4 linked regions of the Canis lupus familiaris genome follow. Each later gene encodes a partner of the first gene's protein in a complex. Links are inferred from orthologs where the notes say so. Each region holds a gene or a part of one and is shown on either strand. Other genes may lie near its edges.

Region 1 (7,551 bases):
TTATCCTAGCATCTTTTATTGAAAAGCCTGTCTTTTCTCCATTGAATATTCTTGGCTCCCTTGTCAAATACTAGTCGACTATATATGCCTGGGTTTATTCCTGGGCTCTCAATTCTGTTCTACTGGTCGATTTATCCATTTTTTATGCCAGTACTATACTATTTTGATGACAATAGCTTTATGGTATAGCTTCTGAAAAAAATGCCACTGCAATCTTGATAAGGATTACATTGACTCTATAAGTGGCTTTTGGTAGTATTGACTTTTTAACAATATTAATTCTCCTAATTTGTGAACATAGGATACCTTTCCATTTATTCGTGTCTTATTCAATTTCTTTCATCAATGTCTTGTGGTTTTCGGAGTAGAGGTCTTTTGCTTCCTTAAATTTATTTGTAAATATCTTATTACTTTTGATGCTATTATCAATGAGATGAATTTTTTTCTTTTTCAGAAAATTAATTGTTAGTGTCTGGAAATACTACTGTTAATTTTGTATGCTACAACTTTACTGAATTCATTGATTAAAACTAAAGAGTTTTTTTTTTTTTTTCTGAATCTTTGGGATTTTCCGTGTATAAAATCATGTCATTTGTAAATATAGACAATTTTGTTTTTTCCTTTCTTTGTTTTTTTTTTTTTTCCCTTTCTACTTTGGATACCTTTAATTTCTTTCCTTGCCTGATGGCTCTAGTAGGACTTCTAGTACTGTGCTAAATAGGAGTAGTGAGAGTGGACATCCTTGTCTTGTTCCTGATCCTAGAGCAAAAGCTTTCAGTATTTCACCATTGAGTATGATGTTACTTGTGAGCTTGTCCTGTATGCACTGTATTGTGTTGAGATACGTTCTTTCTATGCTTAATTTTTAAAGAGTTTTTATCATGAATGTATGTTGAATGTTCAATATTTATCTCTTATCTGCCTGAGCCCAGCTCTGTATATCCACCTGTCAATGTGGCATCTCTTTTGGGCAGATCAAAAGCCTTCAAACTACCTGCTCTCACAGTCTTTCCACTTAAGCTTCATCCTCTGCCAAGATGGCCACCCCAGTGAACTAGTACCAATAGCCACCATTGGCTACAAACCAGAAACTTATGAGCTTTTCTTGATGACTCCCCTTCCCTTCACTACCTGCTTAATCTGTCACCAAGTTCTGTGCATTGGATCTCCTAAATGGTCTTCAGATTCTTCTTCTTACTGTTTCCATAACCATCACTCTAGAGCATCACCCTAGACCCTTCTACCATCTGGCCCACTCCACTTCTTTGCTGAAGCATGTCAGGACTTCCAATTGCACTTAGGATAAAGACATCGGTAGTATGACTGCACTAGGTCCTGTCTCTTTCCTACCTTCCCAACTTCATTTCATAGCTCCTTCTTGTCCTTCCAGCAGCACTTGGCTTTCTTCAGTTTCTCCAACTCACCCTGCTCCCTCTCATCACAGGACCCTTACACACCAAGTTATCTTCATCTGAAATACCTTCTGCCTAGTTAAATCTATTCTAACTTTAGAATAGAAGAGGCAGTTCCTCAAGGAAGACTTTCCTAGCCTTATTAATTCTACCCATCAGTTTTTTTTAGATTTATTTATTTATTCATGAGAGACACAGACTGAGAGAGAGAGGCAGAGACACAGGCAGAGGGAGAAGCAGGCTCCTTGCAGGGAGCCGGATGTGGGACTCGATCCCGGATCCCAGGATCAGGACCTGAGCTGAAGGCGCCTCTGCTGAGCCACCCAGGTGTCCCAATCAGTTTCATAATACTTTGCAGCCATATCAATTTGCAGTGATCATTTTGCATTTGTTTACCATTATTAATTCCATATTATGTTGATTACATATGTAAGTTCCATTGTATTGCCAGTGCTAGCACAGTGCCAGGTACAGAATGGGCATGTGATAATTGTTTATTGTAGAAATAAAGGAAGAAAGGAAAAAAGGCTGAGAGAGCAAGGAAACGGGGAGAGAATGTACAAATGATTGTTCACATTTATATTTCATTTCAGAATCACTGGAAACAGGCCAACTCAACAGGACAAGGGAAGATAGTATTCCTGGATTCAGTCATTTACTCAACAATATTCATGTGTTCATTATTAAAGTAATGTAATTTTCTTTTTTTTTTAATTTTTATTTATTTATGATAGTCACAGAGAGAGAGAGGGAGGCAGAGACATAGGCAGAGGGAGAAGCAGGCTCCATGCACCGGGAGCCCGATGTGGGATTCGATCCCGGGTCTCCAGGATCGCGCCCTGGGCCAAAGGCAGGCGCCAAACCGCTGCGCCACCCAGGGATCCCCTAATCTGGCAAATTTCTTTTCAGGTTTTTTCCATGTATGCATAATACATAGGTAGGATCATTATATAGAGACCTGCTTCTTTGTTTTCATGATACATCGTGAACATTTTCCTGTATTGTTAAGAATTCCTTGAACACCTGGCATTTAAATTGCTAAGCTACATTCTATTGGATGGATGGATGTAATTTAGACGCCCTTCCACCCATTGTTGGATATTTAACGGCTTGCCAATTCGTCACTCCTGCAACTAACGAATACACGCTTTGCGGGAGCTCAGAGATAAATAAGGTGATGAATTAAATCTAGCACGAGCTGGATTTGGGGAAAACAGGAGGCAGCTTCTTCCAGGTGGCTGAAAGGAACAATCACTCGCCGTAGGTGACGAGGCCCTGAAAGGAACGTGCTGTCGGTCAAGGTAAGCCCCGTTCTGTGTCTCGGGTGTGTGCCCGGCCCAGGGCCTGCTCCCGGGCGCCCGGCCTCAGGGCAGGCACCTCGCCTCCGGCTCCCACTAGGGGACGCCCCGGGCCGGGAGCCGCACGTGCCGCGCGCAGGGCCCCGCCCCCACCGGCCCCGGACACGCCCCTCGCGCCCGGTCCCGGCGCGCCCCCCGCAGCTCCGCCTCCAGGCGACCTCCGCGCGGCCTCCCGCTCCCGGAGGGGCCCCGCCCCCGCCCCGCCCCCGCATCCGGGCCCCGGGGCCGCCCCGCCCCGCCCGCCCCGCCCCGCCCCGCCCCGCGGGCCGCCTGCGAGGCGCGGGGGCGGGCCCGGCGCGATGACGTGGGCGGGCGTGCGCGGTGACGGCCCGCGTTCCTGTTACTCAGCGGAGCGGCCGGGGCCGGACGACGGGGCCGGGTGCGCGGAGCCGCCCTGGGTAACGGCCGTGGCGACCGCCCGGACGGCGCCAGTCCCGCGGGCGGGCTTCCCAGTCGCCGTGCGCTGCGTTGCGGGGTGAGTGCGGCGGCTGCCGCGGGGCCCGGGCGCCGGCGGCCCCGCCGTGTTTATGTTATTGTGCCGCCGCCGCCGCCGCCGCCGCCGCCGCCGCCGCCTTCTCCGCGGCCGGGACCCCCTCCCGGGAGTGGGGGCGGGAGCGCGGCGGCTCGGGGCGCGCGGCGGGCGGGCGGGGGCGGGGCGGGGCGGGGGCGGCGCGGGAACAATGGCGGGCGCGGAGGCGGGGCGGCCGGGGGCGTGGGGCTGCCGGACCCCGGCCCGCGCGCCCGCCCCGCCCCACAGCCCCGCGCGCTGCCCTCGCGGATGCCGCGTCCGCGTCGGGAGGGAACGTGGGGCGGGCGCTGGGCGGCGGGTCCTGAGGCGATTCGGGGAAGGTCGGGCGGAGGCGCCTGACTCGCTCCCGCGGCCGCCGAGTCCCGACGCCCGCCCTCGCGCACGGGCTCTCTTTGTGCCGAGGCTGCGGGCGGAGGCGCCGTCAGCCCTGGGCTGCGGGGTCCGCGGGGCCGGGCCGGGGTCGGCGTGCGCGAGCGCGGCCTCCCCTCGGGGGTCGCCGGTGCGGACCTTCCGGCCCTCCCCGCCCCCTCCCCTTTGTCTTGCACTCGTGTTCCCAAGGCTCAGACGGTGGAGCCGAGTCGGTCGTAGAGGATCGCGACGAACGCCTGCCGCGCGGGTGTCTGAGGGTGCGTAGCCGCGGGCCGACTACGGGCATCGGGGTTGCGGGGTCACTGTTTCTACCTCTGAGATTCAGGAGCCGCCTCGGTAGGATTCCGGCCTGTCAGGCCGTTGTGCTTTGGGATGAGCATCCGGCAGGTATCTGGGCCGGTGGAACATGTGTTTATTTCATTCATTCATTGAGCAGCTGTTCAGCACTGTACTCAGAGTTTGAAGCGAAGAGAAATACTTTTTTGATGGAGGAGGATGCTTTGAAATGTAATGGATGTCTTTTTAAATGAGTTATGTAAGCAGTGTGCGTTAAAGGTGTCGTTATACTCTGGGTCATTTATTTTTTTGGTTTTGGGTTTTTTTTCTTTTTTCTTTTAGTACAGTTAGGAGGTTGATCTAAACGTACAATGGCTTTCTTTATTTACAAATTTAACTTTTCAGTTTTAACAGCCTTACAGTCTTAAAAGTCATTTGTAATGTTTATCTCAGATTTCCCTGCTGTGGGTTAAACCTAGGAGATCACATGCTGTAAGGGAACATGCTCAGTGCTGTGCCTGACAAAAGCAAGCAATCAAAATGGGATTTCCTTGAGGACAGGCCTGTCTTTCATCTGTGTCTCCAGCCCTAGCCTGGAATATAGTAAGTGTTCAATAAGAGCTTGATGAAAAACTCTTCACGGTTAATACTATTTAAAATCCAGTCTTTACAGTTCTTTACAGTTCTCTGCAAACTCACTTTCAGTGGGCTAAGTGATTCGTTCATTTGTACTATCTGTCACCGCATCAGGGGCTTTTGAATATTTTAGTTTTTTTTTTCCTAGCACTTCTAATTCATTATCCTAAAATAAAATATTGTCTAAAATGCTTTTGTTGTTTTTGTCTTTTTTTTTTCTTAGTATGTGTATCACACACAGACATAGTGATATTACAGCAGGGGTCTAAAATGATTGAATTTGTCCTTTTTTGAACATTGCTTGAAAAGTTTCTGATGACGCCTGTAAGGGGAAAAGCTAGAGTATGGGAAATAAGCTACATGAAAGTTTTATTTGAAATGTTTAATTTCTAATTGCATTTGTAGAAATGTTTAATTTAAAATTCTACCTTGGTGAAGCATTTGGGCCTAACTGAATTTAAGATTTTACTATTGGAGAAGCATATGGGCCTGAAACTCCAAATAATACTGATTTATTCAAGTTACATCGTTTTTCCACTCACAGTTTAATAAATTTTAGCATGTTTTGGATATGAGAGAATTTGAAATGAGCTTATAGTATTGCCTGATGCAGAGAACAAATTAAAAGGAAATACTTCATTAAGATAAGGAATGAAAATCATGAGATACCAAACTTTTATTGATTTGTCTAGTTACAGTATGTCAGATTTCAGAAAGTGTTACTGATACAATCCTTTGGTGGTAGCTCACTGTAAGGCTACATGTCAATCCAGTTTTTTGTGTTTTTGAAATTCTTTTGGTTTTTAAAAATAACAATTTTATTGAGATACAAATGACATACCATAAAATTCACCCGTTTAGAGTGTGCATCAGTATGGGTTTTAAATATATTCAGAGTTCTGCGTTGATTGCTACTATGCAATTCCAGTACATTTTCATCACCCCAAGAAAAACTACGTACCCATTAGCAGTTACTCCCCTTTCCACTCTAAATTATGTTTATTTTATTTTATTTTTTAAAGATTTTATTTATTTATTCATGAGAGACACAGAGAGAGGGGCAGAGACACAGGCAGAGGGAGGAGAAGCAGGCTCCATGCAGGGAGCCCGATGTGGGACTTGGTCCCCGGACTCCGGGATCAGGCCCTGAGCTGAAGGCAGACGCTCAACTGCTGAGCCACACAGGCGTCCCCTAAGTTATGTTTAAAAAGAGATATCACTGATTCTTTTGGTGAGTATATTCCATTAATGAATTTGAAATGGGCTGTCTTTAAGTGTCCTGACAGAGTAGGAAACTATATTCTTATTATACTCCTTTAGATCCTGAGAGAACGGCCACTTGGAAAGGAAATTTAAGAATAAACTCCATCCAAATTAATGAGGTTAGAATCTTAACTCAATGCCTAATACTATGGAAATGACCTTCACCAAGTGAAGGTACTTGGTGCTCAGGGAAACAACTTGAAGTAATTTAAGTGACCAGTCCTTAGCTATTCTAGAGGCAGTCAAGGAAGTTGTATATTAGAAGTCTGATTCATATTAGTGTGTTTTGCCTATGAATTGATTTGGACACATTCAGATCATCTAGATAGTTCAGATGTTGTGTTGCACATGTAGAAGTATAAAGTAATGTCTGACATTAAGATGCCAGTTCTCTAGAGGTCTCTGGTCAAGTCAGTGGTATGGGTAGTAGCCTTTCTGATTTATGTAGTGCAAGGAAGTAATTATAGCCACATAGTTCTAGATATGAATCATTTGCTTAGTTCAGGGAGCTGTGATGCTTATTGTCTTAGTCATGAGCTCTTTACACGAACATTTAAAAACATTGGTCTTCTTACTCTAATACAGATTAACTTGAACTTTGATTTCAGAAATGAGTTCTGAGTCAACAGACTTTACTACCTAAAAGGAGACAGGAGTATTGAAATAAGAGCTGTTCTATCATTCAGGGCGATAGGTGAAACTAGATTTATCCAGGAGTCAGACCTAGGTTAACTTCTCAGTTCTGTCTTCTAGACTTTGTCATCAACAAGTTCTAGAGCTATAGAAAAGTTGCTTAACTTTTTTTTTTAAAGCTGTAAACAGGCTGTTGGATTTTTTTTTTTAAGATTCATTTATTCATGAGAGACACAGAGATCAGGGATGGGAATAAAAGCACATCTAGCAGTGAATTTATGTTCTCTTAAAAGATTTATAAGAGGGCTTCCCCCAAACAAACAAAAGCCTGCCCCAGATACCTGGATTTCATTGAAATCCATTTTTTTAAATTATATGTGAGTATGTATGTGTATAAGATCTTTTAGAAAATTTATTAGCTGCCATTCTTTTTCAGGGTGGTGGGTTATGTCACGAATATAGCTAATAAAGTGTAAATGTATGTCTCCTTTTACATTTGGTAGTACATTAGGTTTGGTTAAAATGTGTCTGTTCTTTAGAAAGCTAAGGAGCCCAAATTTAATAGTGGTTGTTAATATGGACTTTAAGGTCAGCTCTGAGTTCAAATTCATGCTCCAAATCTAACTAATTATATGGTTAGTTAGTTCAGGTTATATAACATCTTTGGGCCTGTTTTATTGTCAAGTGAGAATAGTAATAGCACATAATCTCATAGGCCTATAAGGTTTAAGTGAGGCATTGCACGTAAAGTGCTTGGCACTAATACAGTACCTGGAACACTAGATATAAGTATTCAGGAAATTTTAGCTATTATTATAGCTTATTATTTTTAACTTGGAACAAATGCAAAATGCCAAGTGAATTGAAAACTAATTTCATGTATACATTTGGATTTGCCAGGAAATGCCAGTTGTTTCCCCCTGCATCTCGGGTTTATTTAAAATTGGATTTTCTCACCTAATCTGAATTGACTGAAATGATTTAACATTTGGACCAGTAATCCTCTCTGATTTAAAATTTGGAAATGTTCCAAAAGCAAGTATTAAAAGAAAATTATTTGCCACATTCTCTGATA
Region 2 (7,455 bases), on another chromosome or scaffold:
TTTTTTCTCTCCCACCATACTTTATTCATTTATTTTTAAAAAATATGTATATATTTTTTATTCATGAGAGGCACAGAGAGAGTGAGAGAGGCAGAGACACAGGCAGAGGGAGAAACCCTCTGCAGAGAGCCCTCTGCAGCCTCCCTGCAGGGGGCCCAATGCGGGACTGGATCCTGGATCACGCCCTGAGCCAAAGGCAGACGCTCAGCCACTGAGCCACTCAGGTGTCCCCCCACCATACTTTATGCTCAGCCACCAGAATCCCAAACTCCAACTCTCACCTCCTCTTACTCAGGAGAAAATGGAACCTGAGACTCCATTACCTATACATAATGTGAAGAGAAAATGTGGGGGATCCCTTGGTGGCTCAGCGGTTTAGCGCCTGCCTTCGGCCCAGGGCATAATCCTGGAGGCCAGGGATCGAGTCCCACATTGGGCTCCCTGCATGGAGCCTGGTTCTCCCTCTGCCTGTGTCTCTGCCTCTCTCTCTCTCTCTCTGTGTCTCTCTCTCATGAATAAATAAATATCTAAAAAAAAAAAAAGAAAATGTGTTTTGTGTGTGAGTATGTATGTGTATGCTAGCAGGACAATGTAATTCTGCAGGACTCCAACAACTAGAGCACAGAGAAAGGCAGGATTGGGAGCTGCCAAAGACTTAAGGGCTGTTTCATAATGCCCGGTGCCGGAAGAGTAGTTCCGATTTTGCTGTACATGGCATTTAAGTATTACTCATTCACAACTATGACATGTATTCAAAGTGAAAGTAGTGTATTCACAGAAGCACTGTCCATCCAGAGACATGTGGAGTGGATTTTCTTTCCCATAATCATTAAAGATTTAAGTAACTGCTGGTTTCTAAAAATAATCAATTAAAAAGAATGAGAACTGAGTTCATTTTGCATTACTTGTGAACCCTATAGGAAGTAAGTTATGGATCGTCTACACCCCAAGATTTACCTTCATTCTTTTAGGGAAAACAATAAAATTTTATACTCTCCACTACAGTTTGCTAGCTTTAGAAATGACTCCTATGTGATTTGACAGGTAAGAAAAATAGCTCAAAATCCTATGTATTTTTCTTGGAGTTGAGACTACTGAAGATTTTGAGAGTTATTAAATGTTTCAAAAGTCTGAACTAAAGATTTTGTAGAATTTATTGCCTCAAATTAAGGAAATTAAAGAACAATGTTATTTTAGCATCCTTAAGGAGCCATAACATTATTTTCTGCAAAACGATAATGGATACAGTATTCAGATTTGCTTTCAAAATTAATAATACTGAACAATCAAGCTAACAAGGCATTCATGGAAAAATTATTTTCTGATGTCTGGAAAACTTTCAGAACTTCCCCTTTCTGTCTTGGAAACACAACTTCCTGTTGGGGTTTGCTACTTCACAAACAATCTGTTTCTCCAGGTGAGTCTCAATTCCAGACTATTGCATTGGGCTTTCCCTTCCGTCTAATCATTTTTCTTAGAGCCTTCTGTAAGAGCAGGAAGAGGGAGATAATGTAGAATAAAGCAGGCAGCACAGAAAAGCTAGAAATTTTTTTTCATTCTAAGGGTGGGTGAAACAAAAACGTGACAGCTGCAAAGTGTTAATGGTAAGGTGGGAGGGGGAAAGGGCACCCAAAGAAAGAAAAAAAGCTAGCACAAGCAGTATGCCAGAGACTGAAAAGGAAGACCTCTGAAAGGCATAAAGGAGTGACTTTCTACTTCAAAAATTGGTAAAGTCTAGAAGTCAGACTCCTTTAAAAAAAAAAAAAGTCCAATTTTCTAAACATTCTAAAACATCAATAAGCTGATCATCCCTATCTTCATGAAATAAAACTAGATAACACTAACGTAGATAGACATAGGGCAGAGATACGTTATATACACAAACTACATGAATCAGCCAAGAATGAACAACGCCTGTTAGAATCACAGGGACAAGTGATTTGGATTGCGATAGGGGAATGGTGGTAGGATATTAAGACAGATTAACAAGAAGGAATTCACTACTTTTCTTAGGGAAGGCTTTCTAGAGGAGGTTAGATTCTGGACGAATAGCAACAGGAGCTTAGCAGAGTGTTCCAACCAACCAACCACAGGAAAATAGCTCAGAGGGGGAGTGAACTGATTATATGAATGGGGCATTGAGTAAGGGAGGCTGCGAGAAGAAAGGGGAACCTTCAAGGGGAATAGGGCTGGTTCAGGGTGCCCTAATTAAGGTCTCCAAACTGGGGAAAGTCTGGAAGGGGGTCAGGGGAAGGCAAAAAGAAAAGCACGGTAAGTTTCTTCACTCGTTTTGCTGGGCAAGTCAAGGACGAGGGTTGGCACTACCTGGAAAAGCTGACAAACAGGCTTGCCCTGGGAGGGAGAAATTTCCAGAGAGGGCCCCTTCTGGAAAGACGCAGCGCCCCGTCCCCTGAATTCCTGGCTGGGTACCACGGGGGTAATAGCCGGAGGCTCCGGGATGTCTAAGGCAGGTGTTTGCTGGGTGTTGGCGTGGCTACCGGGCTGAGGTTCAGCGGCGGGTCTAGCCCTTAGCGACAAGCAGGAGGCGGCGGCGGCGGCGGCAGCTGCGCGTGCAAACCACAGGACTTACCTTACTGTCATCCATCTCCGCGGACAGGCCGGCCTGGCCAGGCGCTCCCTCCCCCTGCCCTCCCCCGGCTCAGCCGGCCTGGCCCGGCCCGGCCCGGCCCCCGCCCCGGGGGAAGAAGGGGATATGGTTCTGACTGTCTCCTCCTCTCGCCTAACAGTTCGCTTCCCTGATGCCACAGTCACGGGGACGAGGGACCAGTTCAGGAATGACAGAGCGGACCCTGGAGGCGGCCCAAAACGCCTCCTTTCGCCGCCGCCGCCTCCTCCTCCCCCTCCATGACAGTCTCTGGGTGTGTTTACAGACGCCCTGGAGAGCGGCCCGGACCGGAGAGTGGGCGGGAACACTGCACGCGGAATGGCCTCTTCGGGTGCCGTAGTCGACGGCATTCTGGGGATTGTAGTTTTCTCTAACGCACTCTCTGCGGGGCTGACTACGAAGAAAACTACAATGTCCACACACCCTCAGCCAGGCGTCTGTTTTCCTCGGGCCTGCGAGCGGTGCGGGGGAGGGGCCAGCCGGGAGGCCAGACTACGTCTCCAACGGGGCGCTGGGTTGGACCAGCCGCGCTCTGGGCACCGGTGGGACGAGCTTGGGGCCCCGTGGAAGCCCTCGGGAGGGAGGAACCCTGGGAGCAGGCCCTCCTCCGGGACGCCGAGGAGACCCTGAAGCTTCTTCATAAAAAGAGGAAAGGAAACTAATAGCGTGCAGGGCTGCAGCTGCTTTAGGGAACAATTTGGCAGTGCCTCACCGTATTAGACGTAAAGTTACGACATAGCCGGCAATTCCAAAGAAATGAAAACTTGCACACCAGTGTTCTCTCTTAGAGGCCTTATCCATAATAGTCCAAAAGTGGAGACAACCCCAATGTCCATCAGCGGATGAATGGATCCGACGAATGTGGTATGTATGTGCAAAGGAATGTTATTAGACCATAAAAATGAAGTGGAAAAACAAACAAACAAACGAAGTGCTGATACGTGCTACCGTGTGGATGAGCCTTGACAACGTGCAAAATGAAGAGCCTCATATTGTAGATTCCGTTTATAATGGAAGGTCCAGAATAGGTAATTTAAAGAGACCAACGGTTAGCTAGGGGTTGACAGGGGCTAGGGTTGGGAACCGCAGGGAGGTGGGGCAGGTGTGGGGAGGCATCGTTAGTGGGCGCCGGTGTGTTTGGTTTTTAAGGTGATGAGAATGTTCAAAAATTAAGGGCATCTAGCTGGCTTAGTGGGTGGGGCATGGGACTCCATCTCGAGTTGTGAGTTTGAGTCCCACATTTGGGTTTAGCAATTACTTAAAAATAAAATCTTTTAAAGAAAGAAAATGTTCTAAAATTGATTGGGCAGCGGCTGCACAACTCTGTGAATATTCTTAAAACCACTGAATTGTGCGGCGCCTGGCCTGGCCGGCTCAGTCAGTGGATTGTGGGACTCCTGATCGTGGGGTCTTGAGTTCAAACCCTAAGTTGGGGATAGAGCTGACTTTAACAAGACAAAACAAGAAAAACCCCTACACTGAATTATACATCTTATTTTATTATTTGTTTTTAGAGAGAGAGAGAGCAAGAGGGGCAGAGGCGGAGAGAGAATCCAAAGCAGACCCTGTGCTGAACACAGAGTCTGACGTTGGGCTGGATCCCACAACCCTGAGATCCTGACCTGACCCAAAACCAGAGTCAGGCATTTGACCAACTGGGCCATCCAGGCATCCCCTGAATAGTACATTTTAAGTGAGTGAATTTTATAGTATGTGACTTATATCTCAATAAAATCATTAAAAAATAACTAAGAGTGTCTTTGCATCCTCCTGATTTAATAAAGTCGGTGGCTCTTTGTTAGTTTAGCCTAATTAAACCACGGAAAATTTGATAAAAATTCATTAATGTTCCTTAATGTTATTCTGAAGAACTCACTGACCCAGTCCTTTTCAAAGACTCCTAAAACCCTTCCAAAATTCCATTGGAGTTCCCTGATTTAGCAATAAATATACAGAACACTCACATTTGATTTTAGGATAAACAAGTAACTTTTTAGTATAAGTATGTCCCATACAATATTTAAGACACACTTACTAAACAAAGCATTTGTTGTTTATCTGAAAATCAAATTTAACTGGGTACCTTCTATTTTATCTTTCAATTCCAAGTTGAGGAAGGGCAATAGAGAGAGGCATGCCTTGTTTTACTGTACTTCACTTTATTGTGCTTTTTACAAATGGAAGGTTTGTGGCAACCCTGCCTTGAGCAAGTCTATTAATGCCCTTTTCCCAAATAGCATTTTCTCACTTTGTGTCTCTGTGTCACAGTTTAGTAATTCTTACAATATTTCTTTTTTTTTTTTTTAAGATTTATTTATTTATTTGAGAGAGAGAAAGAAGCAGACCCCCACTGAGCACGGAGCCCAATGCCGCTGCCATGGGCTTGATCTCACAACTGTGAGATCATGACCTGAGCGGAAACCAAGAGTTGGGCGCTTAATCAACTGAGCTCCCCGAGTGTCCCAATTCTCACAACATTTGAAAATTTTTCGTTATTATTATGTTTGTTATGGTGATCTGTGATTAGTGATTATGGCTTGCTGAAAGCTCAAATGATGGTTAGCATTTTTTAGCAATAAAGATTTTTACGTTAAGGTAGGTACACTTTTTAAGGAATAATGCTATTCCACACTTAATAGACTGCAGAACAGTGAAAAAATAACTTTAACATGCACTTGGAAACAAAAAAATTCATTCAGCTTGCTTTATTGTAGTGGTCTGAGAACTGAACCCATGATATCTCCGAGTTATGCCCGTAACAGGAAAGTTGAGTCATCTCTGATCTATATAATGCTTCAGAGGAACTAAAGGAGGTCACTTCCTCCAAATAAAAACCATGTAGCCAGTTCTTGAGGCTGGTAATGGGTCTGGCATGCTGGGGTTTCAGCAGCTTGGCCCACCCTTAACCCCCAAACTGCATTCCTGGAGGTCTCAGAGACAGCTAGCCACATCCTCTCTGATGATCAGGGGAGCAAAAGTCTGTGCTCACTGGAGCTCTCTGCCTCACCTACTACCCCTTTTGTTCTCCATCTCCAGGGGCTGCTTTCCACCCCTAAAGCTTTCTATTGTGCCGCTGGCCTCAGTTTTGCTTCCCTGGCTATGCCCTTGTCACTAAGTCCTCTTTTTTGAGGTGAAACAGCTTTTCCCCTGGGTTAATCCTCTACCACTGTCTCTTCCTGCATCCCAGCTGACAAAAGTGTACCCAGTCCTCTGCAATGGCACTTATCCACTCCCATCCTTCTACAGAGGCTTTGTGTGATCTGTTTGCAGACTCAATCACCAGCCCTTCAAGGAGAGATAAGGCCTTTAAAAAAAAAAAAAAAGATTTTATTTAGAGCTAAGACCTTTTGAACCATGTAGTACAAATCTAAAAACATGCAGGGAAGTGTGTATACCAGTTTCAGGAGAATGGTTTTCTCTAGGGAGGGAGGGAGGGACTTGGGATGGGGAGTGGCTAGTTGTATATTTAACTTTTAAAGAGATGAAGCAAATATGTTAACTCTGGAAGTGGAGTTGTATTGTTGTCTTTGTATTTCTGTGCATTTGGAACATCACAATTAAAATAGAAATTTTATTTTTTTTAAAAATTTTATTTGAGAGAAAATGAGCAGGAGGAGCAGAGGGAAAAGCAGACTCCCCACTGAGCAGGGAACCAGAGGAGGAGCTCAATCCTAGGACCCTAGGATCATGACCTGAGTCTAAGGCAGATGTTTAACCGACTGAGCTACCCAGGCACCCCTTAATAGAAATTTAAATTTAAGAATTATAAGCATGCTCACTTTAGAAAGTGTGGAACTGGGCAGCCCCGGTGGCTCAGTGGTTTGGCGCCGCCTTCAGTCCAGGGCATGATCCTGGAGACCCGGGATCAAGTCCCACATCAGGCTCCCTGCATGGAGCCTGCTTCTTCCTCTGCCTGTGTCTCTGCCTCTCTCTCTCTGTGTGCCTCTCATGAATAAATAAATAAAATCTTAAAAAAAAAAAAGTGTGGAACTACTTTAAATATTTTTAAAATCTAATTTATAAAAGTAAACCTTAATCACATCATAAAAGAAGACTTTGTAAAGCATGGAAAGTCTTACTAAGAAGTATTGTGTAGTCATGTGTTAAACATTTTCTGAGAAGTACTCAGAATTGGTAACAAAGAGGGAAGAACAAGAGAGAGTATTAGTTTTTTTTTCTTTTTCTTTTTTTAAGATTTTATTTATTTATTCACAAGAGACAGAGAGAGGCAGAGACACAGGCCGAGGGAGAAGTAGGCTCCCTGTAGGGAGCCCAATGTGGGACTCTGATCCCAGGAGGGAACCCAGGATCACTCCCTGAGCTGAAGGCAGATGCTCAACCACTGAACCACCCAGGCATCCTGAGAGTATTAGTTTCTATAAGTATAAATCCTTGAGGATTTTATAATCCAAGTAGAAATTCACACGTACAGGAGACTGAACAATCACTAAAGGCATCGGTGAAAATAATAACAGACCAAACTTAATATCCATGTGTTAAATTGTTCAGAGTGGGTATGGAGTGCCAAGAATGAGACTGATCTCGGTAAAGTAAACACAGCAAATGTATTTTTTTATTTTTAAAGGAGTGGGAGGAAGTTTAGAAGGAGAATATTTTCTCAGGGTGCTGGGCCTGCTTTATATTCATGATTTTCAATCTTTTCTTCCTCCTCAAAAGGAACCTCCAAGGCATGCAATTCCTTCTAAAAATGCATATAATTTTTCCCTCCCTCCCCTCCCCACTCCTCCTTCCCCAACACACACACACACAAACACGTTTCATATACTCCCAGACACCCCGCATAGAGGCACTGTTGGCCTACGATGCAT
Region 3 (6,882 bases), on another chromosome or scaffold:
AGTCTCCAATCCCAGCACAGAAACCGACACGGAGCTCTATCTCACAACCCTGAGATCATGATCTGAGCTGAAATCTTTAAGAGTTGAATGCTTAACCAGCTGAGCTACCCAGGTCCCCATGGGTATTTCTTGATCACTTTTTGTTCATAAGCATGTATAATGAATACATGGGGTGCTACGTGTGGCACAATTAAGAGGCAATGAATGGCAATTAAGAGGAAATGAACATTTTCCCATGTCATTAGAAAAATTTTTAATAGTTGTACTTTATCATTATCTTAATGTATTATCTTGTTCTTTTTGTATACTATGTTATTCTAAAACTGTAAATGAATTAATGGACTTCTGTCATGACAGGATCTAGAAGTAAGGTAGAAAAAGTAACTTTCTACATAAGAATAAATGCTTTGACCTAAGAGGTTTCGTGCATTGTTATTCTCATTTCCTAATTATAAAGTGAGTTTCATTATAAATACTTTAATACAGAAAAATATGAAGAAGAAAACCAAAATCTTGTTAGCCCATAACTGAGTGATAAGAATTACCAATATTTTGAAACAGTTTTCATAGATACATGCAAATATTATACAAATACACATACATAAGTGAGTAATTAGAAGTCACATATATAAGTGAATATATATGTATATATATGTGAATAATTAAATGGATACAAAGAAAAATTCAAAAACCGTAGTTTACTTTTTTAAAAACGTTTTATTTATTTGAGAGAGAGCACAGCTTGGGGAGTGGCAGAGGGAGAAGCAGACTTCTCGCTGGGCAGTTTACTTTCTAATTTAAAATAACATTAAAAAAATAGGGCAGCCTGGTGGCTCAGCGGTTTACCGCCACCTTCAGCCCAGGGCATGATACTGCGGTTTCAGGATTGAGTCTCACGTCGGGCTCCCTGCGTGGAGCCTGCTTCTCCCTCTGCCTGTGTCTCTGCCTCTCTCTTTCTCTGTGTCTCTCATAAATAAATAAAATCTTTAAAAATAAATAAATAAAATAAAATAACATTAAAAATATTTTTATAGGCAGCCTGATCCTAGTTTACTTTTGTAGTATAATGAACACTTTCCCATGTCATTAGAAAAATTTTTAATGGTTGCACTTTATCATTATCTTAATGTATTATCCTGTTCTTTTTGGACATAAAGATTGTTTCCACATAATCACAGTTAATAGAAAATGCTGTTAATTCTGTGATATAAATATCCTTTTTCTAAAGAGCTTTCCAGTTCCTCCACACTCAACAGTTTTTCCCTCTTCATTGCTATTTTAGATCTTTCTAGGGTAATCCTTCTTCCTGCATTCCTGTCTATAGGTCTATAGCCTCTCTCTGGACAGGGCATAGTTGTGCCAACTTGTAAAAGTCTGTTCTGGGCCGCCTTCTCTTGTCTTTCTCACTTTTCGTCCTAGGTGATCTCATCTACACCCATAAATTTTAAAAAACAGCTACATGCTGTTGACTCTCAAACTTATGTCAACCAAGATATCTTCTGGATTTCCATACTCATTTACAGCTCCCATCTTGACATTTCTTTTTCTATGTCTAATAGACCTATTAAATTTAATATATCTAAGTCAGAGCTCTTGATTCTTTCCATAGTTTTCTCTAGCTCAGTAAATTTTCTCTCCATCCCATCTGGTTGCTCAAACCAAGAATCCTTAGTGCTGTCTCTCTCTCTCTCTCTCTCTCTTTCTTTCTTCTTTCTTTCTTTCTTTCTTTCTTTCTTTCTTTCTTTCTTTCTTTCTTTCTTTCTTTCTTTCTTTCTTTCTTTCTTTTTTTTAAGATTTTATTTGTTTGAGAAAGCACAAGTGGGGGAAGAAGGGGAGGAATGAGCAGACTCCTCATTGAGTGGAGAGCCTGATGCAGGGCATAATTCCAGGACCCCCAGATCATGACAGAAGCCAAAGTCAGATGCTCAACCAACTGAGCCACTCAAGGGCCTCCCTTCTTTTTCTTTACACCAAAGCAACAGCAAATCTTCTTAGACATCAGATATACCTTCTGAAATATCCTCAATTTATCTTCAGTCTTCAGTGTTAACACCTTACTCCAAGCCATCATCATCTTTTACTTGGATTAGTAACAATTATCTTCTAATTGGATTTGCTGCTTCCATCTCCAATATTCTATAGATGGCTTTGTTTTTAACACATTATAGTCACTTTTCTGCTTAAAATCTTTCAGTGGTTTGCCATTACATTTAAGATAACTAAATATTCTTAAGGGTGCCTAGGTGGTACAGTCTGCTGGATGTCCAGCTCTTGGTTTAGGCTCATCTCAGGATCATAGGATCAAGTCCAGTATTGGGCTCTGCAGTCAGCTTAGAGTCTGCTGAAGATTCTCTCTCCCTCTCCCTCTGCACCTCCCATTCATGGGTGCATTCTCTCTCTCTCAAATAAATCTTTAAAAGAAAAAAAAGACTAATACTCCTTTCTTAAGTCCTCGTTGATCTGAGCTTATCTGCTCATCCAGCCTTCACCTCATGCCACTGTGTTACATTCATCAAATATTCTAAGTTATTTCCTACCTCGAAGACATTACTCTTAGTACTGCTTCCCTCTCCCTCTCGCTTGTTATTTTTTCAGTATCCATTCATTCAGCACCATTTTTTTTTGCAAAGAAGCTCACCTTACTTGCTCTCTGAAGTAGCCAACTCTAACCTTCCCTCAGTTAATCTTTCATAATTTATTATGCTGTAGTATTACTCTGTAACATATTATTATCTGAAATTTTCTTCTTATTTATTGTCTCTTCCCCTAGCCCTTTGAAGGTATGCTATAAATTCTCAAACCTGTTGAATAAATGAAGTTCCAATAGTTCTAGTTGATCTTTCTTCCAAGGGGCTTAATAAGATTTGGTAATAGGCAGCATAAAGACCAATTCAAAGAACACAATAGACCCAATTTTTACTCTAACTAGTTAAGAAGTTCTATGTAAAGCCCTTAATCTCTTCCTAATCTGTGAAACTGGGGGGAAAAACCATCTTTAAGGTCCTGACTAACTCGCAGATTCTGTGTTTTCCTCTAATTAATTAATTTTTAAAGATTTTATTTATTCATGAGCAGCAGAGAGAAAGGCAGATAGACAGGCAGAGGGAGAAGCAGGCTCCATGCAGGGAGCCCAACATAGGACTCGATTCCAGGTCTCCAGGATTATGCCCTGGGCCAAAGGCGGCGCTAAACCACTGAGCCACCCAGGTTGCCCTGTGTTTTCCTTTAATTTAGAAAGATTTCACTCTAGTAATTATTTATTTTACATTCAGGATGTTAATCAGTATTCCTTGCCCTTTTGACATTGGGAAATTATCAGGAGTGGGGGATAGTAATAGCTACCTGAAATTAACAAACATTTGTATTGTGTTAAAATTTTTTTAACCGTTTCTATTACTGAATTTGTATCAACCATAAACCCAGTCTCCCTGGACCTGTTTCCTGTTTTTACAGTATAATGATGAAGTAGGACTAGGCAATCTCTCTGGATTTTAAGCTCTACAATTCCATGAGAATAAATTATATTTTTACTTTTCACAGAAATTCTCATGGAATCGTAGCCAAGTTGCCCAGCCTATTTCTGGATTGATAGGAAAACAAGTTGTACTGGAAAAAAAAAAAAAAAAAAAAAAAAAAAACCACTCTGATGTCTTTAAATTAAAATATGAACGTTGCATTTGAAAAGCTTTATAGCTACTTCCAAAATTTTCTTTATATTATATTTAAGTTATTTAAATAAAGTTAACATGAAATTACTTTGGGGGAGGATATTTATCCTGTGGACACTTTTCAAAGTGTGTTATATTCTGTTCACTCTAACGTCATGGATTGACTTACATTTTTAAATCCTACTCTTTCTCTATCTCATTAAATAGGAGGTACCATTGGCACAAACTGCACAGCCCACATCAGCTATTGTTCGTCCAGCATCATTACAGGTTCCCAACGTGCTGCTTACAAGTTCTGACTCAAGTGTAATTATTCAGCAAGCAGTACCTTCACCAACCTCAAGTACTGTAATCACCCAGGCACCATCCTCCAACAGACCAATCGTGTAAGTGATGATTTGGGCTAGTCATTAAACTGTTTATGAATTAAGTTTTTCTTAAGACATTTAATTATTCAAATTGTAGCCTTAGGGGTATGTGTGGGTATGTGTTAATCATATTCTGCATGCTTTGATTTTTGGAAAGTATTTGGGTTGTCTTTTTTTCTTCATATTATCTAATAGATTAGAAAACAAATATATAAAATTTAATTGGGGGAGGGGGGGAACATCAGAGAGAGGAGGAGAGAATCTAAACTCTCACAACCCTGAGATGACCTGAGCCAAAATCTAGGAGTCAGACACTTAACAAAATGAGCCACTCAGGCACCCCAACTAAAATTTAGTTTTAAAAACAAATCAACTTTATGAATTTAAGGCGGTCTCTTATTTTTAGTTCTTAACACATATCCCTCGAGCTTTCTTTGTTTTGTTATTAAGATTTTATTTTTAAGTAATGTTGACATTCAGTGTGGGGCTCAAACTCATAATCCCATGATCAAGAGTTGGCATGCTCCACCAACTGGGCCAGTCAGGTGCCCCTCAAGAGCTTCTGATAAGAATTTTTCTCATTTAACATTGGAGCTTGTCCTAAGTAAATCCATTAACTTTTCCTATTTTTCCCCTGTTGTTTTTCCACACTGCTTTATGTATTATACATTTAAGATGCAATTAAAAATAGTAAAAATTTGCAATTTGCTTTGTGATGGTTAGAAAATATTTTTAAAATATATTTTTAAAAAATAGTAAAAATACTCATATTTTTAGAGATGACTAATAAGGATTTCTTATCTTTAATTTTCCTTCTTCTGTTTTTCTTAGTCCTGTACCAGGCCCATTTCCTCTTCTGTTGCATCTTCCTAATGGACAGACCATGCCTGTTGCTATTCCTGCATCAATTACAAGTTCTAATGTGCATGTTCCAGCTGCAGTCCCAGTAAGTTTGAGATTTAGACTAAATCTTTTCTTCATACCAAACTGATCTTTGTAATCAGAAAATACACTTTCGGAAGCTTGATTGGTTTATGAAACTGAATCCAACAAAATACTTAGTAGTAGTTAGTAGTATTTACTCCCCTTTTAGTGGTAGCATATACCAGTAAAGGGAAACATAATTGACTAGAAAATGTTTTTCTATCTTCCAAAAAATTTTTTTCCTTCAATTGTTAATATTAAGAAATTTATCCTTATTTAACCCATTTCAATTTGACTAGTTCATAGAATTAAAATATTAACACATAGTTCTATTCTTTAGGAAGATATTTATACTAGAACACATGTCCAGTAACTCCATGATACTTCGATTATTGTAGGAATTGTTTATAAGAACACTCTCTGAACTTTTATGGTCAAGTTGGGTTTACAGAATTCCTTTGCTGGCCCAGGCATGTGGAAATCTAAACAGTCTAAAACAGTAGATAGTCCTTCAGTTTGCTAATGCAAATGTCTCAGAGAAATTGACCATTTGAAGGGTAAATCAGCATGTCAGATCCAAAAGAGAAGTCTCTTGAGCATGTTAAATATAAATATATAAATTTTGAAAGTCATAGGCAAGTTAAACACCTACTTGTAATACTTAATAATATAGAGAATATTTAAATGCACATTCTTTTGAGTAAGAAATACTTTTTCTTTTCTCACTTTTCATATAACAATTTTATTCAAACTCTTCTTCAAATGTGTCTTCAGTGTTCAGGTTTTCATCATTAAGATCACTTTTTAGGGCAGCCCTGGTGGTCCAGCGGTTTGGTGCCGCCTGCAGCCCGGGGTGTGATCCTGGAGACCCGGGATCGAGTCCCACGTCGGCTCCCTGCATGGAGCCTGCTTCTCCCTCTGCCTGTGTCTCTGCCTCTCTCTGTGTATCTCTCATGAATAAATGAATAAAATCTTAAAAAAAAAAAAAAAAGCACTTTTTAAAACACCTACCACAGTTTTTTCAAAACACTTTTTGTTTTCACCTAAGTAATTTCAACATAACACTTTCTGAATGTATATCTTCCTAGAAATCTTACCCAAGCCCTAATACTCCTTCATATGATAAAAAGAAATTTTTTTTTTACCTTACAGATATTTATTTCTGATCAGTACAATATAATCATTTATTGTATAGCTTAAAAAAATTTTTTTTCAAGATTTTATTTGAGAGAGGGAGCAGAAACAAGAGCAGGGAGATGGGCAGAGGCAGAGGGAGAAGCAGGTTTCCCACTGAGCAGGGAGCCCGATGTGGGGCTGGATCCCAGGACCTGTGGGATCATGACCTGAGCTGAAGGCAGACGCTTAACTGACTGAGCCACCCAGGTGCCTTTGAAAATTATTTTTAAAAGTCTATTTACAATAACTTCCAACATTTTGGTGAGATTATACCCCCAGGAAAATTATTAAAATTAATATGAAATATTTTTTATTAATACATTCTTCCAAGTGGCCTTGCTAAGTATTGAAAATTAGCACTGATTGGCATAATTATAAGATGAGGTATCATCTTCAGACAGAACCTTGCTGTTCAAAATGCATTATTTGAGTGACTTTATAAGGACTCAGATATTAGGTGACTACTTCCTATTTTTCTAGGATATTTTTGAAGGGGGAAACATTCTTGCCCTTGAATTTCAGATTATATAGTTACCCTGTTAAATATAATTATGATAAAACTAAAATGCAAGGAGAGCTACTGTAGCTATATAATAACTAATTACCAATGTTAATATTAGTTTTTTTAAAAAGGTATGCAAAATGAAAAAAATCTGTTCCACATTATTTCTAGAGAAATTATTTGAGGTAACCAGGTTCTTTCTTTGTCATTATGTGCATATTTATATACAAACGAACCTTTCTTT
Region 4 (6,882 bases), on another chromosome or scaffold:
GTTACAGAGATCCTATAAGCCCTGCCAGGCAAGAGGAAACCAAGGGGTGGGGATAACGCTGCAATCCCCCCCCCCCCCGCCCCCAATCCTCCCTGCTCTGGCCCAGCCAGCAAGGGTGGGGAATGGTCCCAGGGCGCTGACTAGCTTCTGTAAGGCCGCACACCTGTTTGGGAATCCCGCACCCTTTCATCCCACGTGCACCAGCAGAGTTTGGGAAGGGCTGGTCCCTGCAACCAGCGGGGTCCCGGCGGCAGTACTAGCCAGAGGGGTACCCTGTGGGCCTCAGACAAGCTCGGGGGGCGGGGGGGGGCTTTCACACGCTCCTGCCGGCGAGCGCTCACCGCCCCGGGAAGCGGGGAGGCAGGGAGCTGGGAGGGAATTGGAGGCCCGGGATCTGTCCAGGGTGCCGGGGAGTCAGAGGCAGAGCGGAAACTAGACGGGAATTACGGAGGTTTGGGACGGCCCGAGGGCGCACCTCAGGTCGGAGGACCCTCCGCGGGGCGGGTGCCCCTCCCCCCAGCACCCCTCTTCCGGCCGCGCTTCGCTGCTCCTGTTCGCCCCGCCGCCCTCCCTCCATCCCTTGTGGGGCCCGAACTCCTAGGCGACCCTGCGTCCCCATGGCAACAGCGGTGACCTCACTCTGGGCTCGGCTTACAACCCCGGTGAGGTCACCGGCCGTTGCCAAGGGAACCGGAGGGTGCCGAGAGTCGGAGGGGGGCACCGCGGGAGGGGGCGCTGCGGCCTACCGAAGGCGCCCGCGGATTGGTCCCGCGCGTCCTCGCGCCCCCCCCCGCCGGGCCCCCCGCGCCCTCCCGGCCCCCCCGGCGGCGGCGGAATGGACTCGCCCGCGCGGGGGGCGGTGCGCGGCGGCCTCGGCCCCGCCCCCGCCCCGCCCCGCCCCCGGCGCGGCCCCGCCCCCTGACGCCCCTCCGCCCGCGCCGCGCAGCCCCCGCGCGCCGGGCTGCTGTCTGGGGGCGGCGGCGGCGCGGGGAGCCGGCTGCAGGCCGAGATGCTGCAGATGGACCTGATCGACGCGGCGGGCGACACTCCCGGCGCCGAGGACGACGACGACGAGGAGGAGGAGCGCGCGGCGCGGCGGCCGGGAGCGGGGCCGCCCGAGGCCGAGCCCCGCCAGGAGCCGGCGCCCCGCGGCCAGGGCCAGGGCCAGGGCCAGGGCCAGGGCCAGGGCCAGGGCGGCGGGGACACGTACCGGCCCAAGCGGCCCACCACGCTCAACCTCTTCCCGCAGGTGCCGCGGTCTCAGGTGAGGCGAGCGGCGCGGGGCGGGGCTGGAGGGGCGGCGCCCCGGGGCGGCGCGGGGGCGGGGAGCACGTCGGGGAGGCGCGAGGGGCCGCGGGAGAGGGGCCTGCCGGGCGCGCGGGACCCCAGGCGGGCGGGTGGGATCTGCCCTGCGAGCGGCCGGGGCGGGCCGACGGGCTTTGGAGCCTCGGGGAGGCTGAAGGGGTGAAGGGACGGGACGGACAGTGGGGGGACCTGGGTAGTAGGCGAGCAGGGGGCTCGGGAGCACAGGGCAGGCCTTTGAGGGCTAGTTGCAGGAGTTTGGAGCTCGGGCCTCAGGCTGGGGCGCGGTTTCCCCCAGGGGTGTGGGGCCCCAAGAGGAGAGCACCTGAAGTGGTCCTTGCGGGCGGGGGGAGGTCATGGAGGGTTGGTAAGAGGAGGAGATGGGGACCTCGGAGGCCGCCGCCAGAGTGAGATGTGGGCAGCTGGGAGTTCCCGGAGGCAGGGGAGAGACAAGGGAGGTGGAGCTGCCTGGCCGAGTTGGGGGCCCAGGGCCCCTGGGCTGGGTGGCTGGATGCCAAGGAGGGTTGAATAGGGTGGGGGAGAGCCGGCTGTGGCCCTTTGTCTTCCAGGCCCAGTCAAGAGAGGTACAGACGAGGGGCTCGGGAGGTGGGGCTGCGGGTGAAGGGTGCAGGGGCTGCAGGGAGAGGATTGGCCCCTTTCCCACAAGTCTCTGGGGTGGATTCTGGCAGCCAAACTCCTGCATGTGAGAGCCTATGAGTGTTCCCAGGGGAGGGGGCCTAAATAGTGTGTGTGGGAGCCTTGCCTGGAGGCATGGTGGAGAGGGGACCCAGGACACCAACCGCGTGGGGTGGGCAGCCCGAGAGATCCAGGAAGGCAGGCCGCTGACAACTACATCTGTCATTTCTCAGTCATGTGCTCCTGGAGGGGTGGGGGAACCATGTTATTGATTCATCATGTGGATGATTCATCCCGGTCCCCCAGGCCACCTGCTAGGAGACCCTTCCTTGCCCTTTTTTCAACTTTTCCTAGAATGTCCCTGCCCCTTCCCTAGATCATAGCTTCCTGAGTTCCAGGACTTGGCTGGAAGTGAGCATCTACCACGGAAAGCCTCCATGTCTGGGACTGGGGGTCTGGCTCTGTCCCCAGATGGCTCTTGCTTCTCCCTCACTCCTCCCCCCTCCCCAGCACACATATTGGCCATCAGCACCTTTGCTGAGGCTGATAAGAGCATCTCCCCAAGGGTTGGCCAGCTTCCCAGAGCCAGCAGGTCTGGCCAGGAGGGCCATGACTTGCCACCCCTCCTGCCTGTTTGAAGAGGGTTGGGGGTGAGGCCCTTGGCCAGTGTGTATGTGTGTGTGTGGCGGGGGGTGCAGCAAACGCCCTAGGGATGGCCTGATGGGGGCAGGGCCAGGGCCTCCCTGTGCCGGGCACTGTTGACTGCTTCTGTCACAAGGGCCTTTTGTTTTCTGCACAGGACACACTGAATAATAATTCTCTGGGCAAGAAGCACAGTTGGCAGGATCGGGTGTCTCGGTCATCATCACCCCTGAAGACCGGTAAGTCTTCCTTCCCTTACCCGGACCTCTACCTGCCCTGACTCAGTTTCCCCTGCAGAGAGCAAACCTGGGCAATCTCTCCATCTTGCCGAGTTGAGGTAAACTGCCCGTCCCATAGCCTGGAGCAGGCCCATCTGAAGTCAGCTGGGGTGGGAGTGAGAGCACTGGCCCCGGAGCCTTCCCCTGGTTTCTGTGTCCCACATGCTGAGTGGAGGGGGCAGGTGGCCTGGGAGTCAGGGACGAGTCCACCTGCCTTTAGCACTGACCTGCCTGCTCTCCAGGGGAGCAGACGCCTCCACATGAGCACATCTGCCTGAGCGATGAGCTGCCGCCCCTGAGCAGCCCCACCACCACCAAGGACCGAGGCACCTCCACCGACAGCCCTTGCCGCCGCAGCACCGCCACGCAGATGGCCCCTCCCGGCGGCCCCCCCGCCGCCCCGCCGAGTAGCCGCGGCCACTCGCATCGAGATCGCATCCACTATCAGGCGGACGTGCGGCTAGAGGCCACCGAGGAGATCTACCTGACACCGGTGCAGAGGCCCCCGGACCCTGCGGAGCCCACCTCCGCCTTCCTGCCACCGGCCGAGAGCCGTATGTCCGTCAGCTCCGATCCAGACCCTGCCACCTACCCCTCCACCGCGGGGCGGCCGCACCCCTCCATCAGCGAGGAGGACGAGGGCTTCGACTGCTTGTCGTCCCCGGAGCGGGCCGAGCCGCCGGGCGGAGGGTGGCGGGGGAGCCTTGGGGAGCCGCCGCCACCTCCACGGGCCTCGCTGAGCTCGGACACCAGCGCCCTGTCCTACGACTCGGTCAAGTACACGCTGGTGGTGGATGAGCACGCACAGCTGGAGCTGGTGAGCCTGCGGCCGTGCTTCGGGGACTACAGCGACGAGAGCGACTCGGCCACCGTCTATGACAACTGCGCCTCTGCCTCGTCACCCTATGAGTCGGCCATTGGGGAGGAATACGAGGAGGCCCCCCGGCCACGGCCCTCAGCCTGCCTCTCCGAGGACTCCACGCCCGACGAGCCCGACGTCCACTTCTCCAAGAAGTTCCTGAACGTCTTCATGAGTGGCCGCTCTCGCTCCTCCAGTGAGTCTGCAGCAGGCGCGGTAGGGGACCTGGGATGAGGGAGAGCCAGACCGAGGGTGTCCCTGGAAGGTGGCCTGGCCCGCCTACCTCAGGGCATTGGGACTGAGCACTTGCTACTGCCCCCCACCGCAACCTCAGCCGGAAGTGGGACGGTTCTTCTCCAGCTCACCCCCCTCGTACAGGTGCGGAGTCCTTCGGGCTCTTCTCCTGTGTCATCAACGGGGAGGAGCAGGAGCAGACACACCGGGCCATATTCAGGTAAGAGCAGCAGGGTTGGGGTGCCCAGGCAACACTGGGGCCACCTGCCCCCACCCCCATGCCCCTGCCATCTCTGCGTGGCCTGGACGCAGCCCCCAGCACTGGCATTCCTCCCTCCACTTGGTTCCAGGGGGATGGCATCCATCGTGGTGGAACTCAGAGCAGGGTGATGGGAGGGGATGGGTCAGTGCAGTGTGGCCTTTCCTGCGTTGCCAGGGTCTGGGATGGAGCACGTAGTGTGGCTGGGGGCCGGAGCCCCAGAGGGCACCCAGCAGAGATGTTGCCCGACCACACCAAGGCACACTCCTCACCTCCCTCCCGGGGAAGTGCTCCCTCCCGGTTACCTCTGGTTCCCCTGAGTGGCTGTGGGCACTTCCTCCCTTAGCCCGCCAGCTCAGTGGCAGGTGCACGTCTGTGTGATCTTACTCTCGCCCAGGAACTAACGTTATCACAGGCTCGGGAGACTTCGAGGGGGTTTATTGAACTAGTGCTGCTGTTGTGGCCACCTGACCTCAGAGTAGCGTGGCGAGCAGATGGCTCGGGAGGCCCTGGTGCTGAATTCCTCACGTGCCCTTGGTGGGGGACAGGTTTGTGCCTCGACACGAAGACGAACTTGAGCTGGAGGTGGACGACCCCCTGCTGGTGGAGCTCCAGGCCGAGGACTACTGGTACGAAGCCTACAACATGCGCACGGGCGCCCGGGGCGTCTTTCCTGCCTACTATGCCATCGAGGTCACCAAGGAGCCTGAACATATGGCAGGTAGTGTCCTTCCCCTCCTCGCCATTGGGCCCCCGTCTGCCCTTCCCTGACTCGCTGCCAGGAGACTTCACACCGTCAGGAAGGGCCCTCGCAGAGATGACATTAGGCCCAGCCAAGTTGGGACATCTGGGGTTGGTGGCCCCTCCGCTGGCACTTCCACTCCTCACTTCGCGCTTGCCTTCCAGCCCTGACCAAAAACAGTGACTGGGTGGACCAGTTCCGGGTGAAGTTCTTGGGCTCGGTCCAGGTCCCCTACCACAAGGGCAACGACGTGCTCTGTGCCGCTATGCAAAAGGTGCCTGTTCCCTGTCCCCTTGGAGGGGCGCCCACCCCCAGCCCAGTCCCCCTCCTCTTCCGGGGAGAGGGTCGCCCAGCGCCTGATTCCTGTCCCTCCCCCCCAGATCGCCACCACCCGCCGGCTCACCGTGCACTTTAACCCGCCATCCAGCTGCGTCCTGGAGATCAGCGTGCGGGGCGTGAAGATCGGCGTCAAGGCTGATGATTCCCAGGAGGCCAAGGTGACCGCCCTGGCCCCGGCCCCCAGCCCCGCCACCAGATCTCCCACCCGTGGCCCCTGCGGGCTGATGATGCCCTGCCTCTCTTCTCCCTCCCGTAGGGGAATAAATGTAGCCACTTTTTCCAGTTGAAAAACATCTCTTTCTGTGGATACCATCCAAAGAACAACAAGTAAGAGGGAGGGGACAGAGAGTGAGGCCTAGGGGGGCGGCCCGGAGCCATTACGGTAGGGTGCGGGTCTGCGGGTATGCCTGGAGGGGTCTGGACCCTCGTCCCGCCCTCACACAGACGGCTGCCCTCCCGCAGGTACTTTGGGTTCATCACCAAGCACCCCGCTGACCACCGGTTTGCCTGCCATGTCTTTGTGTCCGAGGAATCCACCAAAGCCCTCGCAGAATCCGTGGGGTATGTCCGTGTGTGTGTCCTGCCGAGCACCCAGCCCTGGAGTGCACCCTAGTCCTCCTCACAGCTCTCCACGCCTCGTGGCCTGGTGTCAGGGCTGCGGGGTCTGGAGGAGCCCCCAAACGTTTTGGTGGTTGGGCCCTTCCTTCGACTGAAGTCTTCCCCGGGAGGCACAGTGTGTAGAGAACAGAGCCAAGCAGCTCGGTTGGGGGGACCCTGAGCCCTACCCAGGGACCCCGAGGCTCCAGTTTAAAAGCCTTGGGTGGAGAGCCCGTTCTTCCCGTCACGTGTGTCTGCCTGCTTCCTAGGAGAGCTTTCCAGCAGTTCTACAAGCAGTTCGTGGAGTACACGTGCCCCACGGAAGACATCTACCTGGAGTAGCAGCGCTGCCCGGCCCTCTACATCCCCCGGGCCCTCGGGCCCGCGGCCAGGACAGCTGGCTGCTGACAGGACACAGCACCGCTTGAGGAGGGGCACCCGTCACCACCAGAGGATGGGGAAGTGGGGGCCTCTGGCCGAGGGTGGGGGAGGGCGGGGTTTATGGGGAGAGGCAAATGCAGTTTATTGTAATATATGGGACTAGATTCATCTATGGAAGACAGAGCAGGCTGCCTGGGGATTGGGGGGTTGCTGGGCTGAGGGGTGTCAGGCCTCTGGCCAGGAAGGATGTCCACTGCAGGAGCAGAGGGCCCTGTTGTCGCATCCTGGGCCTCACTTCCCCTGCTGGGCCTCCGGCTTTCTGGCAAAGGCTCCTACTTTGACGAAGCCCGTGCCGCCCGCCAGTGCCCACCCCACCCCCAGCTCCCAACCCCAGCCGGAGGCCCTGAGCTCAGGCTGAGCCCAGCCACCTCCCCAGGACTTCGCAGCAGGTGGGGGTGCGGTCCCTGTTCCCAGCTCTGTCACTTGTGTGGCCTCCGGGTGGCCGTCACGCTGGCCCCTGGCACGGGTGGGACCTCGCCAGGGAAGAAGAAAGCTGCGGCAGGGCCCCGTCCCGGCAGGAAAAGGAGGCTTCTCGACTGGCCCGGGCCAGCCA

What was found.
Region 2: the proteins of MAPK8 (region 1) and DUSP16 are in contact, whole or in part, in a crystal structure (PDB 4YR8), measured with the Homo sapiens proteins. The link is inferred for Canis lupus familiaris from reciprocal best matches to the Homo sapiens genes MAPK8 and DUSP16. Residues at the interface, in NP_001310257.1 of Homo sapiens: Arg189, Val196, Ile197, Leu198, Gly199, Asp229, Ile231, Trp234, Gln253, Thr255, Val256, Thr258, Tyr259, Val260, Asn262, Arg263; in NP_085143.1 of Homo sapiens: Phe215, Leu267, Asp268, Tyr271, Lys275, Pro279, Ile281, Ser282, Pro283, Asn284, Phe285, Asn286, Leu288, Gly289, Gln290, Leu292, Asp293.
Region 3: the proteins of MAPK8 (region 1) and ATF2 are in contact, whole or in part, in a crystal structure (PDB 6ZR5), measured with the Homo sapiens proteins. The link is inferred for Canis lupus familiaris from reciprocal best matches to the Homo sapiens genes MAPK8 and ATF2. Residues at the interface, in NP_001310257.1 of Homo sapiens: Asp112, Ala113, Gln117, Val118, Met121, Glu126, Arg127, Tyr130, Leu131, Tyr133, Val159, Lys160, Ser161, Asp162, Cys163, Val323, Trp324, Asp326, Ser328, Glu329; in NP_001243019.1 of Homo sapiens: Phe36, Val44, Lys48, Met51, Thr52, Leu53, Lys54, Phe55, Gly56, Pro57.
Region 4: the proteins of MAPK8 (region 1) and MAPK8IP1 are in contact, whole or in part, in a crystal structure (PDB 3VUM), measured with the Homo sapiens proteins. The link is inferred for Canis lupus familiaris from reciprocal best matches to the Homo sapiens genes MAPK8 and MAPK8IP1. Residues at the interface, in NP_001310257.1 of Homo sapiens: Lys83, Asp112, Ala113, Gln117, Val118, Met121, Leu123, Glu126, Arg127, Tyr130, Tyr133, Val159, Lys160, Ser161, Asp162, His286, Val323, Trp324, Asp326, Glu329; in NP_005447.1 of Homo sapiens: Arg157, Pro158, Lys159, Arg160, Pro161, Thr162, Thr163, Leu164, Asn165, Leu166.

What each region holds. Positions count from the first base shown.
Region 1 is NC_049249.1:429,670-437,220, forward strand, and holds the start of MAPK8 (mitogen-activated protein kinase 8), read left to right. Parts: upstream 1-3,096; 5' UTR 3,097-3,245; intron 3,246-3,851; exon of another isoform or gene 3,852-3,925; intron 3,926-4,397; exon of another isoform or gene 4,398-4,547; intron 4,548-7,551. UniProt on the Homo sapiens protein: Serine/threonine-protein kinase involved in various processes such as cell proliferation, differentiation, migration, transformation and programmed cell death.
Region 2 is NC_049248.1:12,463,661-12,471,115, reverse strand, and holds the start of DUSP16 (dual specificity protein phosphatase 16), read left to right. Parts: upstream 1-2,976; 5' UTR 2,977-3,490; intron 3,491-7,455. Other genes in the region: CREBL2 (cAMP-responsive element-binding protein-like 2), read right to left, coding at 2,591-2,976. UniProt on the Homo sapiens protein: Dual specificity protein phosphatase involved in the inactivation of MAP kinases. Dephosphorylates MAPK10 bound to ARRB2.
Region 3 is NC_049257.1:19,390,919-19,397,800, reverse strand, and holds part of ATF2 (cyclic AMP-dependent transcription factor ATF-2), read left to right. Parts: intron 1-3,875; coding exon 3,876-4,054; intron 4,055-4,867; coding exon 4,868-4,982; intron 4,983-6,882. UniProt on the Homo sapiens protein: Transcriptional activator which regulates the transcription of various genes, including those involved in anti-apoptosis, cell growth, and DNA damage response.
Region 4 is NC_049239.1:43,942,725-43,949,606, reverse strand, and holds part of MAPK8IP1 (C-Jun-amino-terminal kinase-interacting protein 1), read left to right. Parts: intron 1-163; exon of another isoform or gene 164-469; intron 470-475; exon of another isoform or gene 476-626; intron 627-946; coding exon 947-1,264; intron 1,265-1,629; exon of another isoform or gene 1,630-1,682; coding exon of another isoform or gene 1,683-1,886; intron 1,887-2,737; coding exon 2,738-2,819; intron 2,820-3,100; coding exon 3,101-3,913; intron 3,914-4,095; coding exon 4,096-4,171; intron 4,172-4,758; coding exon 4,759-4,931; intron 4,932-5,116; coding exon 5,117-5,226; intron 5,227-5,332; coding exon 5,333-5,449; intron 5,450-5,547; coding exon 5,548-5,618; intron 5,619-5,753; coding exon 5,754-5,852; intron 5,853-6,157; coding exon 6,158-6,230; 3' UTR 6,231-6,882. UniProt on the Homo sapiens protein: The JNK-interacting protein (JIP) group of scaffold proteins selectively mediates JNK signaling by aggregating specific components of the MAPK cascade to form a functional JNK signaling module. Required for JNK activation in response to excitotoxic stress.